Oryzias latipes: one gene and its partners. The protein of the gene in region 2 interacts with the protein of the main gene of each other region in a biochemical or structural test. Links are inferred from orthologs where the notes say so. Each region holds a gene or a part of one and is shown on either strand. Other genes may lie near its edges.

Region 1 (6,227 bases), on a different chromosome or scaffold from region 2:
GGTGGCGGCTGCAGCTGGACCTCTGTCTATTGTTCCACAGCATCTCTGAGATGATGCCCAGCACTGTGCTGTCCTTTTGTCAGGGGTGCTTAATAATTTACCACCGTCTCCATCAATCCAGGGAGCCTGCCGTCTGCTCCGGGCCACTTCCTCTCCCTGGGAACGCTGCGGCCATTTCCTGTGGGGCAGCAGAGCCTGTCACCATGAAGCCCCATGTCATGTTTCTGAACTGAAAGGCAGACTGAGCTATGCAGGGAGAGTCACTGCCTGGTTATGAAACAGGTGAGTGGATGCACTCCCCTCCACTCACCTTTTCCTCCATATTTCACCCGATTCAGACAAGATGCAGCCACATCTTTCAGACAAGAAACAGACATTAGAAGCTCGACATTTCCTCACTGCACACACTTAAAAATGTCCCCCTCCCCTTTTAATTCTTGGCCAATTTTCCAAACAAAGAGGCTGCTGTGCTGAAACAATGGCAGCATTTATGTCCCTGCAACCCCGCTGTCCACTGCGCAGACATATCCAAGGAAGCAAAAGTCACAGCCGGACTGCTCTGGCAGAAGATCTGCCCCGTCAGACACTGCTGTTCAGCACCAGGAACCACCGTTCCACTCAGTGAACAGTCTAATGGACATCAAACCCCCCCCCCTAAGCAACACATGAAGACTCCAGAGTGTCAATTAAGCCCGGAGCTATTTTTAAGGAGCGCGCACATTCACTGTGACAAACATGATGGCCTACATAACCAGCAGTGACCCAGCATGCCTTGTGCCTCTCCGCCACTGTCTCTTTCATTTGCAGAGCCGCAGATGAGGACTGTCACAAAAGAGGGAGAGGATGCAGCCTGAGGCGGGGAGCGCAGCCCGACCTATCCGCCTCCATCACCAGCTCACGCCGTCATGCAGGCCGCTCTGCACGCCGGCATCCTCTGCAAGTCTATTAAAACAATTCCTGTCAATCTGAGGCGTTGTTCTCCTTCTGAGGTGGACGGGGGTCAGTGTTCATCACAGCCCTCATCTGCCCCCACCCAACATGAGATGACCTCAGAGCGTTCAACAGGAATTCATGATATCTGGGAGAAATAATTACTTTTACTGTTCTGTTTTTTTTACTTGTTTTTCAATGAGAAACTATTACTGATTGATCAAATAGCAAAAAGAAAAGCTCTGGCAGAACTGACAGCCTTTTGTCCAGACACAACGTGACCTAACACACAGGGAGCTGATCCCTCCTCATTTATGGCGGTGAAGGTTCTTATTCATGCAGGTGATGTTGAGTTGAGTCATGGCGTGTGGACTTAAAATCGTCTTTCTTAAAACATTACCAAGTGGCTTCATCAGTCCTCATTCTTATTAATACTTAGAATATACAGGAAAAAATATACAAGATTCAGAGGCATTATTTCCTAAAACTGCATTTCCTGTAGAGATGTCTGTGTGAGAGCTGAGATCCAGGCTTGAAAGATCTTTTGATGATCAAAGTGGGTTTCCATTTTTTATTTTTTCAAAATCCTTTTTCAAAAGTTTAATCTTTAAAAGTTTGCAGAAGTTCCTCACTTTAGAAAATGTAAGGAGTTTCTATCTCCTTAGAGTCTCCACGAGGAGAATTCTGAGCTGGAACAGCGGAAAAGTTTCCCGGAAACAGCCTGACTTATGGACACAGGGTAGAACAGACGGATGCTGGAAAATGTCAAGTTTCTGTGAAGAAAGAAGTCTGATCATGTCATTTAAAGATCTTTCATCTTTAAATAATGATGATGTGACAGGAGCTGCAGCTCATCCAGAGAGATTATATCTGGGTGGAGAATATAAACTGTTGTGGAAAACTCGGATGATTCAGAGATGTTTGGATTTTGAGGGTGACTCAAACAAAGCTGTGACACTGAATAGGAGGCATAGTCGTCCAGACACGCCTGCCCCTGCCGGTGAGGCTAGCTGACCCCCGTGACCTTTGCAGAGAAGGTCCTGTCACAGCTTCACCGCGTCATTAACCGTGCAGATCTGTGTATCTGCACAGGTAAATATCCTTCACTGTTCTCTTGGTTTATAAGTTCTCTCTCGTTTTCACATATCGTGAGAACACACAGTCATCCGTGTCTTTCTCCCTCCTTTCCACGTGATGATGAAATGTCCCCGTACCCCCCACCCCCGCGGCTGTGTCTCACCTGGTTTCGCTGTAATCAAGGTGTGGTCGAGCGTCACGCAGGTGCGCTGAGAACAAACGCTCGGCCTTGTTGTTACCCAGCAGAGCCCCTCCCCCACCAGCTGTCTGAAAGAGTGCTTTAACCGTGTTTGGCTGTGGTTTGGGGTTTCACCCCCGATGTGGGGCTCTTCGGAATAGAGGATCTTTGTGCAAGTTTCGGCGCTCTGCAGCGGGAGGGAGTGAATGTTTACGGGCAGCAGGTCCGGACGGTGAGGTCGGCTCGCGGCTGGGGAACCGGGCCGGGTGGGGCCGCGCTGGGAGGTGGGCGGGGCCTGCGCGGAGGTGACGCTCCTTTGACTCATTTGTTTCACCGTCAGCGACGGCAGCAACGGCTGGGAGAGGAGCGACGAAACCGAAGGACTCGCACCGCAGAAAACACACACAGCCGGAATTTTCTGGAGAGCCTTCCGCCTTTAGCTCAGGTAGGAGTCACGACGCGATACATTTTCCGCGCTAATAATGCGGCCTCTGCCGTTTGGATCATCGATGTTTTTCTCTCGTTTTGGTGACAGAAAAAAAATAAGTGTTTTCGAAATGGTCTATTTGTGGCTGCATAGTGGCTCGCTTGTGTGCTGTGACCGCCCGGCGCCTTTCATTCTGCCCTCATTTCCGCGTGCCTCAAAACTCTGCCCGCTTCTGCTCCGGAGTTCAGCGCGTGCTCGAACTACCACAGGTTGTCTCTGTCCGCGTGAACGCGCGTCCTGGCTTTTAGTTTTAACATGGCAACTTGGACCTGGTACCGAACGTTGACACGGGCCGGTTCTGTCGTAAGACCCTGTTTCCATGGCGCCGTGCGCGCGCGCGTGCGGCAGGTAAAAAGGAAAGTGGGTCTGTGTTTCCCTGCGGCGCGAATATCAAAGAGGCCTCAGAAAGAAAATTCCGTGGTGTCATTGAAGCCTCACCACTGACAGAATGCTTCGATCCTTGATATTAAAGTCAGTTTATGGACTCCAGAGCCTTTTCCCGGATCAACTTTGGTCTGGTTTAATCCGTACCAGGGTTAAGTCAGACCTCTGGTAGTTCACTTTCTTTGGCAGGTGTGATAGAGCTCCAGCATAGATTAAAAAAAACAAAAACAAAAGGTTCCTGTTTACATGACAGGGAAACCTGTTCAAAAAGGTTTCTGTGGTTGTTGAGGCCCCTCCCACTCACGCACACACTGGAAACCGCTCCTGGGGAGGGCGGGTGGGTTGGAGGAATTACAGTTGATTCCACAGCTGTGGTGACATGACTAATCCAACCCCCAAATTCTCTGATACTGGCCTACATTAGCAGAAGCAGGACCCAGGAGGCCCCTCGGTTTACAGGTTTGCTTGCTTCCGAGGGATTACAGACCCCAGCCTCATCTTTTCCTCCCTGGATTAAACTCCGGCCCTCATCTTTCTCCTGGTCCTCGAGGCGCCGCGGCTCCAGGAGGAACTCTCCGTTCTCTTTGTTTTCTCTGCGCTCGTCTTTGTTTTCCTTTTTTCTCATGTGAAGGGAATGCAGAGAGATAAGAGTTCCCATCAGCCTCTCTGGGATCTGCGCCTCGCTGAGGCTATGCGACAGCCTCCGATCCAGCAGACAAGATCCGATTTATTCCACTTGAAGTTTGTTTTCATCACATCAAAGCAGCAGGAAGTCGACGCTGTCATTTCTGTTTAGAATGCAAAGAGTCGGACTGATGTACTACAAGAGCAGCAAACAAATCCCACCGTCAGGTCGCATTCCTGCTGTCAGGGCCTTTATGCTAGGGAAGTACAGTTACCCCAAGGTTGATCAGTGACCCCCGAGACTAAGACGAGGTCAGATGACACCCTCTCTTTAGAAACCATGTCAGACCTGTTTGAGCCCCCCCACCCCATTCCTGTTGGGGAAGAATGTCCTTCATTACCACATGTTACCACTGCATTCAGAGTCTGAGTCAAAAGAGAAACTTTTCACACTTGGATGATCGGCCAGAGTTGCGATCTGAGGAGTGGGGTGGGGGGTGGGGGGTTGAAACAGAAAGCAAATAAGCAGGAGGTGTTTTTTTTTTAAAGATTTCGATCCGTCTCCGCTGCTGTTTAGAGGAGCGCTGCTGTGGATAACAACACATTCTCATGACCCGGTTCTGGTTCTGGCAGCATCTCTGGACCGGTTCCTACACAGCCTGCAGACAGCAGCTCAACCTTCCTGTGGGGTGTCAGCAGCACCCCCCCCCCCCCCCCCCCCGTGCCCTCTCCTTAAAAAATTAATCTTGTGTCACAGCGCACACTGATGCATAGCAGCTCGCCACCCCCACCCCCCACGCCGTTTTCAGCCTCTTACACCAACTTAGGCTCATCGGCGTGCCGTCCCATCTAGCCGCGCTTCGTCCTCTTTGGGGTTCAGAGATCCCAACATTTACCCAACGGGCTCCTCGGTCTTCTGGAGAGTCCAAAAAGGAGCTCGTCAGCGTGAAGGCGGGCATGACCTCGGCTAGAATCAGGGAGTCTGTGACTCCTCCCCCCTCCGGCTGTGTCATATTTATGCCGGCGTGTTTGGTGAACTTTGTGCAGTACTCCTGGCAAATGAGCGGTTATTGCTGCTTGGCTGCACCCCGCTCCACGCCTCCTCCTCCTCCTCCTCCTCTTTTATCAGTTGTGTGTAATGCGATCCCTGGCTGCTCCCGGGCGCCTCCTCTGAGACGGCTCACGTTTCCTTTAATTCACAGCGAGGGCCCAGAGGGGGATCTCCACTGCGCTGCAGTTTGCAGCCGCTGGCCTACTTCCACTCGTGAAAGTCACGGCTGTGACTCAGCTGACAGGACAGGAGCTTCCGGCCTTTCTGCTGCTCGCTTTATTCACTGGAGTCTGGACCGGATCCAGATCCAGGACCTGGACCCGTCGGGTCCAGACAGGTGCAGCGTTGCACAAAAGCACTCTGGTAACGCGCTCTCGTTAGCTGCCTCTCCTTGTAGTGACGTCACTTTGGTCATCTGGCATTTCTCAAGCGATTCCTGGTGGACCCGGGCCTCCCGTGGGTTGGTGCCGTGGTCCGCGGGCCGCTCTCAGCTGTTGGGTGATCGGCGGCGGTGAGCAGCACTTCCCGTCATCCGTTAGCATAAACTCATCAGCTGTGCATCACTTCACATCCTCCCTTATTGATTTATAGCAAACTGCAATCCAGTTGTCCCCCCCGCCAGCGCACAGCCAGACAAGCTTCAGTCGGGGGGGGCTCACAGAGAGTGTCTCCCCACCAGAGCGGTTGTGCTGGGAGGGGGGGGGCTGACCTAAATGTCAAACGATTCCTCATCCAGATGGTACAAGAAGCTTTACAGATGTGGACAAGCATAATCTGCTTTATTTGCTTGTCAGCCTCCATATGAGAGCAGCGAGGCTGCTGGGAGTCGGAGGAGCCCCCCCTGCATGTGAAGAGGTCTCCTCCAGGACGCACATGAGCATGTGCGACAGCGTCCTGGCTGACCTGGGGGGCTTCCTGCTGAGGGAGCTCTCGCTTTGGTGACGCTCGGCTGGTCGTGATGTTTGGATGTTTTCTAACGCCTCCACACCGTGCTGCTGCTGGCACTTAATTACTGGAGGAGATTATTCCCATTTTCCATGATGACCATGAACACATCATCTGAAATAGAGGTGTGATACTGTGTCCATAAAGAAGAAAACCGTTGGATTACTGGATTTGTGTGTTATTGTCCCATTATGGATCTGCAGACATTCACCATGGTGGTTTGGAGCCATGATAAATTGCCCCCCCCCCCCCCCCCCCCCCCCCCCCCCCCAGCCTGAAAACAGCTGAGATTTTGCTTAATACCCTCCAACAAGCGTGTTAAAGTCTAACAAGGCGAGGAGCAAATCTGTTACTTTCAAGCTGCCAAACAGGAACGTCCTCCATAACGAACATCACTGGGGGCTCTGCGTGTTAGGAGTCTGTGGCCATACTTTGACCCCAGGGGCCCCTCCCTGACTGGACTCATTCCTGCTGTGACACCGAGAACAGCTCAGGCCCGCAGCTCCGTTTGTTCCGGCCAAACTTATTAATGATTGGAGAATTCTGAACTG
Region 2 (5,494 bases):
CTCCCAAGCTATATGGTTCCTGATCCCTGCACTAAATAATTGTCTAAACTTCCCATAGAAATAGTGAGCAAAAAATATACATGAACATGGGTTTTACTTTTTCAATTAGTGAACACTAAAATATTCCACAATAATTTTTCCCCCATTATCTAGCAAAAGTGACTTAACTTGTGTGGTAGCCAGGATGCAGCACCCCAATCATGTCTTAAAATCCACCTTCTTCAACCATTGACAGAGGTCTCATTTCTTTTAGAAAAATTTCAAGGACTCTCTGTGTAAGTATTGCATCCATCTCTGGTGTGCACTGGCTCCTTCCCAGTCTACAGTCGGTGACGCACACCAGAATTCCGGGCTTCTGCGTCCGGAACGCATCTTGACGTGTGGGTGGTGTCCACTTCATAACATGGAAGTCCCAACACTTTTAAACTTGATGGCGAAGGAGACATTAATAATTGTGGTTTATAGGGAAAGAGCTATGAAAACAAAAGGTCTGGAGCAAGATTTGCACCACTGTGACTTTGCTTATCAACCCTCTTCCTATTGTAGACGGCAGTTGAGCACTAATAAACAGTAAATACACAGAAGTCCGGTATGTCCCACACCATCTGGATACGCGTTCATAAACCATGTGGACCGCGCTATTGAACGCACCACACGCGGACGGTGTGAATGAAGCACTAAATGCAAGTTTTTGTTCGTCTTCTATGGTTGAGGGAGGGTTATACCGCCTCCAAAAGTTCCTGTTGTGCTTTGCGATGACTGTGGCTGATGGTTTTCATAACCATTTAAAATGCCCAGAAATCGTTGACATCCCTAGTGGACTACACAGTTTATTAACACAGAATAAAGCTAAAACAAAACCATAGTATTTCATCTTACAGTGAAATTTAAATAGAATAGTGTACTGCATGAAAGACTTATAACGAGGATTACTTTAACATACAACCAAACAAGGTTTACAGGCTTACTGTGGAGGGTGATTTCTAAATCTCAATTTAGCATGGCTTGGTGATTACATTCTAGATTGAGTACGTTCACACTGGCCAAGACGTGACTAAAAATGTGCAAAGGGCCAGAGGATTTCTGTATTTAGGACCAACTTTGCCTCGATTTTTATTCACTAAATGCTTTTAACAGATGCCTTCCGACAACTGTACCGTTACAATCAAGACAAAACCACTCAAAAACTGCTGAAGATATGACAAAATGTACAGGTCCTGCAATGGCCCCCAGACAATTGTCGGGGGGTCCACTGCACAGGCTTTGTAACCAACCGGTCGCAGATTTGAACGAAGGACAGCCAAAAGCCCTGTAAACACATTTATCTCTATCCAAATTAGTGTGTGCACACGCCAAAAAACTGAGCCGTTTGGTACACCTTTACAAAGTGTTTCTGAGGTGTAGGATGTTTAAATCTGCCCAAACTTTCAGACATAAGTAACTATAGTTCAGAAGCCCCAAAATAGTTCTTCCGCCCCCTTTATTGAAACTTGATTTGGGTGCATTTTTTTTTTGACAAGTGAAACCTCTGAAACTATACTTAAGTCAATGCTTAGCCTAAAAATGCAATATCAATTTTATGACAGTGGATGAATTTTAATTTAAAGAATTTATGTGATATTTATCAGGTTTTCTTTATGTTTTTATTAGATTTCTTATTTTTTAGAAATTTTCAAGCTTTAAAAGTTTTACTTTTGTGCAGTTTAAACCTTAATTATGTACTTTTTTGAGGAAAGAGAAAAATCATAACCAAGCAAAATGGGGTTGGAACTTTGAAACAGGAGAAATTAATCAATATTTAATAAAATGGTATTGAACCATAAATCAAATTATGAACCCATAGATCTCAATCAAGTCAGAAATGCAGCATCTAAACGCACCTTTTGTCACTAGTGATTAAAAAGAGCAAACCAAACTTAGAAGACATAACAGCACATCAAAAATGGGGGAAAAAGTTAAAGACACTTACATTTCCCATGTACTCGCTCAGAAGGTCCTGTAGTGCTTGACGCACAGAGTTGCATTCCGCCACAATGCGCTCCCTGCGGTCATCACGTGTGCAAGAGGAATCAGCCATGAGGGCAGCTCCACTAATAATGCTTTCAAGGCGCTCCTCCAGAGAAGGACGAAAGCGCTCCTCGCTGAACGCCAGAGGGTCAACAATGATTTGTTTCTGTCAGGAAGACACAAGAAGAAGAGATTTAAAAACAGAAAAAGAAAATGGGTGTCTTGTTGCCAGGGTAGGAAAAAAAAAAGCACAGAACTAATATTAAGATAAGACTTTAGTTATCCCACAAAGTGAAAATTCTTTTGACTACAGCAGCAAAGTGACATTCAGAAATCAAAGTAACATTACAACTAAAGACAACATTGTCTTTAGCAGTAATGTATCTTTTAAAAACCGTTAAGGGTTACCATTTAAATGAATGGAAAACATTTAGGAGGCAAGTCTTAGCAACTAAGGATCTATTACAAAAAAACAATTAAAATATGGAAAACAATCAGAAAAAGAACTTCAATCACACTAAATCTATACAGATTTAAAAAGATCTTTATATCTAGAGTGACAGTCTTTTTTTTTTTGGAAATACACTTAAATATTTATACTAACAATATATTTATATCAACAATTCATTGCCTCACATACTTGGGACAAACATAGAATTGCAGTATTTATAGAAATGAACCAAAACCAATTTGGAGGAAAATGGTACTTTTATTTGCTTCAGTTAAAATATAATGAAAAATATTTCAATTTAATATTTCAGGTCGTAAGAGTTTCAAAATTGCTAAATAGCCACTGGTTCAAAAGTTTATTTATTCTGTAGTTTGCTTTAACTATTCTCACATCAATTGAGATTAAATCAAGCAGCTTTAGCCACCAAGTGTGGTGGTAGATGGTTAGTCAAATGGTTGTAACACCTACAGTTGCACACATTTTGTTGAATGACCAAATAACTCCTTGTTGATACAAATAATGGAAAACAGCTGTTGGATTGTTAGATTTTGCGGTTTCTTTAGACAACCACCTCCAGCTCCCTCTATTCTGTCTTGTCTGGCCTCCTCTGTGTGTCATATCCCCATGACAACAGGCATTTGAGAGAGACATGGAGGTGGAAGCCCAGAGAAACAGCACCACTGTTGACTCATTTCCTAATTTTGCCTATGGGCTCTTATACACCAAACCTATTTGAAGAAATGAAAAATCTGCTCTTAAACACAACTACAAGCATTACAGCAAAAATGTATGATTTGCATTCAAAGAAACCTTTACAGAGCAGACTAAAGTGACATAACTACAGCAACAGTGCAGTAAAAATCACTATGCAGTGTGTAGATAAGGTGAGGTTGTTCTTTTTTCAGCAATATCTTAAGTCTAGCTTAGCTAGACATGTTTAAATATTTTTTTTTTTTTACCATGGATGAAATTAAAATATCCAACTGTCTAAATTTAGTGATGCATAGATTTTTAGAATTTTTCCCTTATTACTTGCTTTTACGATTAAAAAAAAAAAAAGCATTTTAAGAGGATTAAAGGAAATTAGGTCATTAATGCTTACAGCTCACTTACAGGGCCAAACAGTCACAAAAAACCTCTCTCTCACTGACAGACCTGGCACATTTAATCAGTTTAATACAAAGGACCAGCATGGTCCAACAAAGCTGATGGCACAATACAGAGTGAAACAAAAAAAACCTGTGAAAACGTGTACTCAATGATGCATTCACAAACACTCAAGATGTTCCTGGCAGCTGATTTCTGGTCAGAACTCAAATGCTTTGCTAAGATCTGTTTTTTTAAAGACTTTTTTCTTAATGAAGCTAATTTTAAAAAAATGGTGCAATAAAATGGCATTGATAAACCAGCCTTGCACTGTTCTCAACGTTTAAACAGAGGAGCTTTCAAGGAATTTTCTTTAAAGATTCCAGTATCATTTTACTATAAGGAACAAGCTTTTCAAGAGTAATTTTCATTTTTCCAAGTGAAGGTAGGTCAACTGAGAAACATGAAAGAATATTGACAAAACCTAATTTTATAGTAAAACATTGACATTCTCCTTTAAAAGAATCATCATTAAACTTTCCTTGGTGACAGTGACTGCTAAGGATAGTTCTAAGGAAGGCTTCCAGAGCAAATGTGGAAAATTAAGCACAGAATTCTAAAGCTGCGTTCACACTGAATGTGATTCATGCATCAAAATTTGACAGACATGATGAAAGGTCCTGCAACGTGTTCTGAAGGTCGGGCGCAGTGCGGTGGTGTGGCAGGAGCGCGTCTCGGTCGTTGTGGCATGGTGCATCCAGAGTTCAAATATCTGAACTTTGGCAACGAAGGCGCAGCATGATGACATGATCAGAGGTCAGAGTTCAAACCAAATACCAAATAGGAAGAAAATCTGATCGCTCTCCTCCTGAACTCCATAAAATGGGTTGTTTTTCCATTGAGACAATATAAAAGGTCGTCTAGCTTTATTCTTATTTTTCCTTTCGCGGACTAATGCATGACAAGTCATCACACCAGGTCACAGAGAGACAAGAGTACCGCTGAAAGCAGCGGTCATTCAGACGCAGCTCTTGCAGCAGATGGCGAGCCTCACAGTACTGGGAGAGGGTCTGAACTAGGCCTGCACAATAAATCGCAAATTTGTCGTTATCGCAATATCAAGCTATGAAATCCGCATATCGCAAAAGACGGCGAAACTTGCAATAAATGGTTACCTTAAATGTGTTTGAACAATCTCATGGCAGCTTGAAGTATTTAACGAATCAAATAAATCTCTTTATACCGTTTTCACAAACATTCATGATAGAATGGGCCACTCTCAGGAGCTCGTGTGGAACGTGGAACTGTCATAGGATGCCACCTGGGTAACAAATCCAGTTATGAAAATTCCTGGCTCCTAAATATTCAACTCCATCATAACAAAATGGAAGAATTTGAGAACAACAGCAACTTAGCCATGAAGTGGTAGAACACGTAAACCACCGGAGAGGGGTCAGCGGATACTCAAGCGCATAGTGGATTGCTACAGAGCTAACTTTGTGACCTTCCGATTAGTCCAAGTAGAGTTAGCAGAGAGCTTCTTGGACTGGGTTTCCAAGACAAAGCGGCTGCATCCAAGCCACACATCACAAAGTGCAATGCAAAGCATGGATGCAGTGGTGTAAAGCACACTGCCACTGGACTCTAGAGCAGTGGGGACACGTTCTCTACAGTTTCATTGTTTGGAGCGGGCTCCTTCCTCTACCAACATGACTGTGCACAAGGCGAGATCCACAAAGACATGGATGAGAGAGTCTGGTGTGGATTAACTGGACTGACCAGCACAGAGTTCTGACCTAGACCCAATAGAACACCTTTGGGATGAATTCGAGCGGAGACTGAGAGCCAGGCCTTCTCAACCAACATCAGTGTGTGACCTCACCAATGCACTATTAGAAGAATGGTCAAAGATTCCTATGAACGCACTCCTCAACCTTGTGGACAGCCTCA
Region 3 (6,095 bases), on a different chromosome or scaffold from region 2:
AAGACTTGATGGCAAACGAGGACGACTGGCTTATGAGCCGGTTCCGACTTCCTCGAGCCGTCCTGATGGACCTCTGCGGGCTTTTGGGCAGAGGAGCACTCGGAGGAACCACGCGTGTCACCCGGTGCATCTGGCGCTCCGGTGCTCGGTGCCCCCCCCCCCTCCTCCCGATGGAGCACTAGAAGTTTTTTCGCCTCGACTTTGATGTCCGACCATTTCTTTTTTATTTCGGCCACGCTCCAAGGTTGTGAGGCTACAGCATTTACGGCGTCTGCCACCGTTTGCCACTCACGTGCCTTTTTGGCATTAGTAATGCCCACACTGTACATTCCAAACAACATTTTTCTCCTCTTTTCCACCTCGCCAACGATAACTTCTACTTCACATTGAGTGAAGTTACGTTTTTTTCATTTCCTCTCTGTGTTTGCCATGGTTTCGCAATCAATGAATATTCATTTGTGGGCGTTTCACAGACTATTTATGGGCAACTATGGGCGTGTCATGAAGCCGCAAAAGCTGCGCTGCATTTAGAATTGGTTGTGATTTATTAAGGGAAAGATGCGTAGGATGTGCGTGCGCACGGTTTTATAAATCCGAATATTTCTGTGCGTACGCACGTCCTATGTTTCATCCGTACGCCATTTCTGACGCAAATCCTACACAAAGTTTTATAAATGAGGCCCCAGGAGACACTCTTTAATTTTCTTAAATCCACAGTGAGTCTTAGAAATGCGAGGTATGTATGGATTTTGCTTGTGTATACCGACTTCAAACCGATTTTCTGTGGAACACAGCGGTTAAACAAAAATCTGTCAGATTATTTAAACAGGACTTTGGTGAAGCTGCACCGCTTGGTAGATGGAACAATCAGATGCCTAAATGAAAGTCTGTTAAAGGAGTGCTTAAGGACAGGGCAGGATTGAAAATGGAGGCTTTGAGGGCTTGTGATGTATTAATTTCGCTCTTTAAAGGATGGGTCTTGAGAAGTCCACAGATCAGTTCACTACATATGAGGATTCAGAAGGTGTCAGCATTCAAAGACCGTTTTTGGATAGTAACACTTATTGAAGGAACTCTGCACCTCCGAAGGGATCTCATCAACATCCAACACCGGAGGGACCTACCATTGTGATTGCAGAGAAGCTCCGTGAAGACAGGCGGCGCAGATACAAGTACTGGGCTTCTCTGGACCAGCAGAATCTGCGGCTGGACTTGAGCAGATCGGTGCTGGTGGGGTCAGAACAAGCCTGGTCCCTGTGCAGAGGAAACACGGGGACATTTAGACGTTTACCAACAAAAGACAGACAGACAGAAAGGTTTGCAGTGTGCTCTGAGTTTTAACTAGTAAAATATTTAAAGGGAACATTTCAGCGAGCTTCCTGTCAGAGTGTCTCCTCCTCAGCTCTCAGTCGGTTGGAGTTGAAGCGCGTGGGCTTTTAGCAGACGGAGAGCTGCTATTTTTAGAGCCAAATGAATTAGACTTTAAGCTCGCTGGAATTGTGCAATTCCTCCACTTCAAGTCTGCATCTGTTTTCTAATAATCTTTCAGTTTGCAAGTAATGCTGGATGAGAGATTAAGCACTTTCTACAGATTAAACAGCAGTTAGTGAATCTTGAAGTAGATTATTTTGGAAAACTTGGATGAAAGCAAGTGCGCATTTTATAGGATGAAAGGTCTGAGAAGAAGCAAAGGAACTGCCTGTTCTGATCTGGCCTGGTTAAGACATCTGCTGGATTCATGCAAAAGGACCAAACTCACAGATTATAATCCCGCACTTCAAGAGCAACACGCTGTTCCTAATCATTAACATATGGCAAAGATTTTCGCTGCCAGCCTGACGCAGCTTATATTTCATCCTCACGTCAACAGGAAGCAGCAGAAATGTGCGGTGCCGGTCTAAAGGGTGCAGAACCTGGATCTTTCTTTGCACCCAGACCTTTAAGCTTTCTATCTAGCATGTATAAAAAAATAAAAATAACAAAAAAAAGAGAGGAAGACTAGGAACCATCAAGATGCAGTTTCCATGGCGACATACACACCTCTGGGTAACAGGTTTACCCGGCAGGAATATTTCTGTGCACTGAAATTTTTCCCAACAACACACCATGATTTCAGTCTTCCCAACCCGTTAAATGACCTCCCCTCCAGTTGTGCAGTTCAGTTCAAGCAATGTTTTTAGCTAGAACTCAAGTGACATGTTGATGATATTGATGTCATCCATGTATTGTCAGGATTTTTGTTGTTTTGTATTTTTGTTGTCATAGTTGAATCAGGCTTAACCCTTGTGCCATCTTGTGGGGTCCAGATGACCCCACAAGACAGTGTGCTTAACCTTTTTTCTTGGATTACATGAAATCCTCTCCACCTTCATCCACCTTTGTCATTGTAGAGGTATCAGGTCAGTGTAAGGGTGGGGTCATCTGGACCCAACGAGATGGCACAACGGTCAAATCAGCTTCTGCCCATCTCCATCAAACATGTTTATCGTTCTCTCAAATACGGTAGATACTCTTGTGACTGACTGAAGTTATCAGCAAGTGTTTAAATGTATCTATTTTTTTCATCTTTGAAATAAACAAATGAAAAGAAAAAAAAAAAAACAGTATGAAGATTAATCGGTCCACATCTGAAGAGGTTGGACAGAAGTTTACATGGACATAGACTGAAAAGGGAGTTTTTGGGAAAGCATGTCAGCTGATTAAAGCGGTCATAAAGTAATCCAAAAACAGCATAACCTAAACTGATGCTCGCATGCCACTGCCTTTTTCAAAGGAGAAAGAGGCGGTGTTATCCAGACATCTTTCCAATGAGCCCAAATGCAGAAGCCGTTTCCCGTTTGCAGCCTCTCTTTAAAAGCTAGAAACTCTTTTTCTTTCTTTGATGGAAGTGAAAAGCTATCCGTGAAGCATCTTTGTGACAGAGATAAAAGGAGCTGCTCGCATCCTCCAACTTCACTGAGTCATTCAAAAAGAAACTAGACCATCTTTGATGAAAGAAGGTGATAGCAGCATCTCCCACCCTTTGAAAAAAGCTGGTTAAGCATGATGTGTGCATAAAATGAAACTAATGTTGGATGTTTTTTTAATAACATAACAGTTGGAGAAACCGTAAAAACCCAGAAACCATCAATGAAACTACCAAAACAGCCATAACAAAACTGTTCATGAGATCCTACTATTTTCAGAAAAGCAAAATTAATTTTTCACTCCATTATCCTTTATTTCCATTTTTTAACTGAAACACATCCTTTGGTCAGTTTGGAGAAACATGAGCTGCTTTGCACAGAAATGTTCTCTTATGATACAAAATAAAATAAAATAAAAAAAAAAAAAAACAAAGTTTAACAAAGAATTATAGTTCCGTCCCTGTGCAATATATGTAATGCAATATTGCTTCCATCCTGTTTTAATGCCATTAGATTTCATCTGCAGAAGTGAGCATCCCCCGCTTTCCTTCACAAAGTCTGGAAACGCAAAAAAAAAACACTCACCCTGAAGGTCTCCACAGTTTCCTGCCGGGTGGCAGGAGCTCGCGTTTGTTCAGGGGTACGATCCCCATGGCCGCTTGCATGATGGTGATAAACTTCTTGAACTTCATCTTTTACCTCTCCGTCAACAGCATCACTGCGAGTTCATGGCTGCTGCCGACCCTCCATCGATGCTAACAGAGCGCAGAAGCAAAGCACCTCTGCTCGCCTCCATCTGAATCATCGGGACTTCAGAGACGCTCTCGCGCCTCGGTGCATCTGCTTCTCCATGACAACCAGCCACACACTCCGTGTGCAGATGGGAGCCGTCCCCGCGGCTAGGCTACTACAGACTTGCGCCTAAGCACGACTCCGACAGATGTCCTTTTGGCTTTCCGAGTGATGAAGGATAAAAGGAAAACAAACAGCCACGTTGTAACCAGGAGGCGGGCTGGTGGAGAGGGGACGAACGACAGCACGTCACGCTTACATAACTGTGGAGCATCTCTGGGCATTACACTAATGAAAACACAGTTTCTGCCACCGCTGATGCTGCAGCTGCTGGGATAATTGTGGTACTAAGCCCTGACAGATCATGCACGCTCCCCACCCCCATCGCCTTTAATCCCCCCCTCCATCAAGGCTTAGTCTTCCCGCCACTTACACCACCCGTCTAACTTCACCCGAGCATCCACAGCTGACCACCATGAAAGGCGGATAAGGACCCCGACTGCACAAAATACTCCAAGACCGTCAAAAGATTTAAAACCACATCAAATTTCAGCTTTATGTAATTCCTGAATGATTCATGGAAGAATGGGAAACATCCGGCTGTGGGTTGAATTGGATGAAACAATATTAATCCTCTATGGATAAATTATACTTTTGTAATCCAGAAAAAAAACAAAGACAGGAAGTTTACTGTTGGAAAGTTTGAAATGCAGCAGCAGAATCTCACCACAGAGACCTGAATGCACCAATGAATGGATAGTCGGATCCAAACCAAGCAGATCCTCTGTTAGTTCTTCTATTCACGACGAGGAACAGGGAGAGTTCAACTTCCCCCTTCTGACGCTTCACTTTTATCCCAACATGTCAACTTTGGTCCCGTCTGGGACAGCGCTCAGAAATGCAACCTGATTTGCTTTCAAGCTACGTTCAGGAACTTCCAATGAAAAAGTCTACATAACCGGATGTAAATGCACGTTTCGGGCTCCCACACTGATGTGTAGCTACACAGGTTTTTACAACTCTTTTTGGGCTGTGTAAGAAAAAGCCTGTAGCAAGATTCGTGAGATTCTGATTGCTTCTGCATTTCACACTAAGCCCTTTCCATCTGAAGGAGGCTAGCAAACAATAGATAAAGAAAAAGCAGAAGAAGCCCCTCCCTGTTTGTCCAGTGTGAATACCACGGGCTACAGCATGTTCAACAACCCAAGTTTGGCATGTTTTAGAACGCATTTTTTAGAACGCATGTCAAATTCACGGTGTGTACGTTACCTTCCACATTTAGGGCAATTCATTCAGGCGAGTCGCATTGTGTAGAAAAGGGATATGCCACAATTTTTGCGTTAAAGCGGACCTGCAGATCTGAATTGTGGGGAAAGTGCATCGTTGCATGCCTATTGCATACCATTAGTTGGAAGTTTAAAAAAATCCCTGCTACGTTTGAGAAGAATTTAGTATTTATTATTTTATTGCAGTACACAAGGCTTAGTATGAGCCAACTGAAAGGTCTTTCTTCATAGTTACTTGCTTATTAGCAAATTAAAACAATTTTCCCCCCAGAATTTTTTGTTTTTCGTCATTCTTTTGCATCAGTCGTGCAGCGTGGAGCTTCAACAATGAACGCGCAGAGATGCAGTCAAGAAGAAAATACCTAAGCATCTTCACAGAAACTTAAGTTTTGGTTTACACTCACTTTTAACAAACCGTCACAAATCAGACTTACTCCTCTAAGCGATTTTTTAAGCTTCATGCCTGCAGCTTTATGTTTTGACCGTGATGTCTTCAGATGCAGATTTGACAACGTTTTGTAGAAGTCCTCTCTATTTCATAAAATATCAAAATACCCCCCCCCCCCCACACACACACACACACATCCCTGAAAAAAAGAGAAGGGGTGCAGTGTCCAAGGCAGGCCAGATTAAGTCCATCTTGATGCCAGAAGCCACCATGTCCTAAAAGCTTTCAAGCAAATAGTGATCATCTTTGTGCCCTCTGGATGAATGCCAGACGGCACAACTCCGGACAGGATTTGCATCCAGGCAGCTTGGATGTCTGGATTACGGTTCATGATGCTTGTGGCATGAAAGGCTGCAGCAGATTTCACTGAGCAGCAAAGACCCCTGGGAGGAAGGGAAAGTGCCAGGAGCATGGTGAGGTGGGGTGAGCAAAAATAACAAGCCTCTATTTTTAAAAGGCACTGACTAAGAGCACAAAGACGTCATGCAGACTGAAAGCACCACAAACACAGAGAGAATGGAGGTCCACTAAGATGTTACCCAATCAGGACAAATGAGCAAACAAAGAAACCTAGTTTCAATGAGGGCTGTAGCGGCTCCACACAGATCCTCTTATGCAGAACCTCTTCAGAACCTGGGATTGTCATTTTAATGCTCTTTATCT

The links.
Region 1: the proteins of ctnna1 (region 2) and junction plakoglobin form a complex in vitro, tested with the Homo sapiens proteins (2 studies listed by BioGRID). The link is inferred for Oryzias latipes from reciprocal best matches to the Homo sapiens genes CTNNA1 and JUP.
Region 3: the proteins of ctnna1 (region 2) and tjp2 form a complex in vitro, tested with the Homo sapiens proteins (2 studies listed by BioGRID and IntAct, with this or other methods). The link is inferred for Oryzias latipes from reciprocal best matches to the Homo sapiens genes CTNNA1 and TJP2.

The regions. Positions count from the first base shown.
Region 1 is NC_019859.2:29,198,582-29,204,808, reverse strand, and holds the start of junction plakoglobin, read left to right. Parts: upstream 1-2,317; 5' UTR 2,318-2,417; intron 2,418-2,525; 5' UTR 2,526-2,630; intron 2,631-6,227. UniProt on the Homo sapiens protein: Common junctional plaque protein. The membrane-associated plaques are architectural elements in an important strategic position to influence the arrangement and function of both the cytoskeleton and the cells within the tissue.
Region 2 is NC_019868.2:19,913,685-19,919,178, reverse strand, and holds part of ctnna1 (catenin alpha-1), read right to left. Parts: intron 2,174-5,494; coding exon 1,970-2,173; intron 1-1,969. UniProt on the Homo sapiens protein: Associates with the cytoplasmic domain of a variety of cadherins. The association of catenins to cadherins produces a complex which is linked to the actin filament network, and which seems to be of primary importance for cadherins cell-adhesion properties.
Region 3 is NC_019870.2:25,440,802-25,446,896, reverse strand, and holds the start of tjp2 (tight junction protein ZO-2), read right to left. Parts: upstream 3,911-6,095; 5' UTR 3,599-3,910; coding exon 3,492-3,598; intron 1,255-3,491; coding exon 1,125-1,254; intron 1-1,124. UniProt on the Homo sapiens protein: Plays a role in tight junctions and adherens junctions. Acts as a positive regulator of RANKL-induced osteoclast differentiation, potentially via mediating downstream transcriptional activity.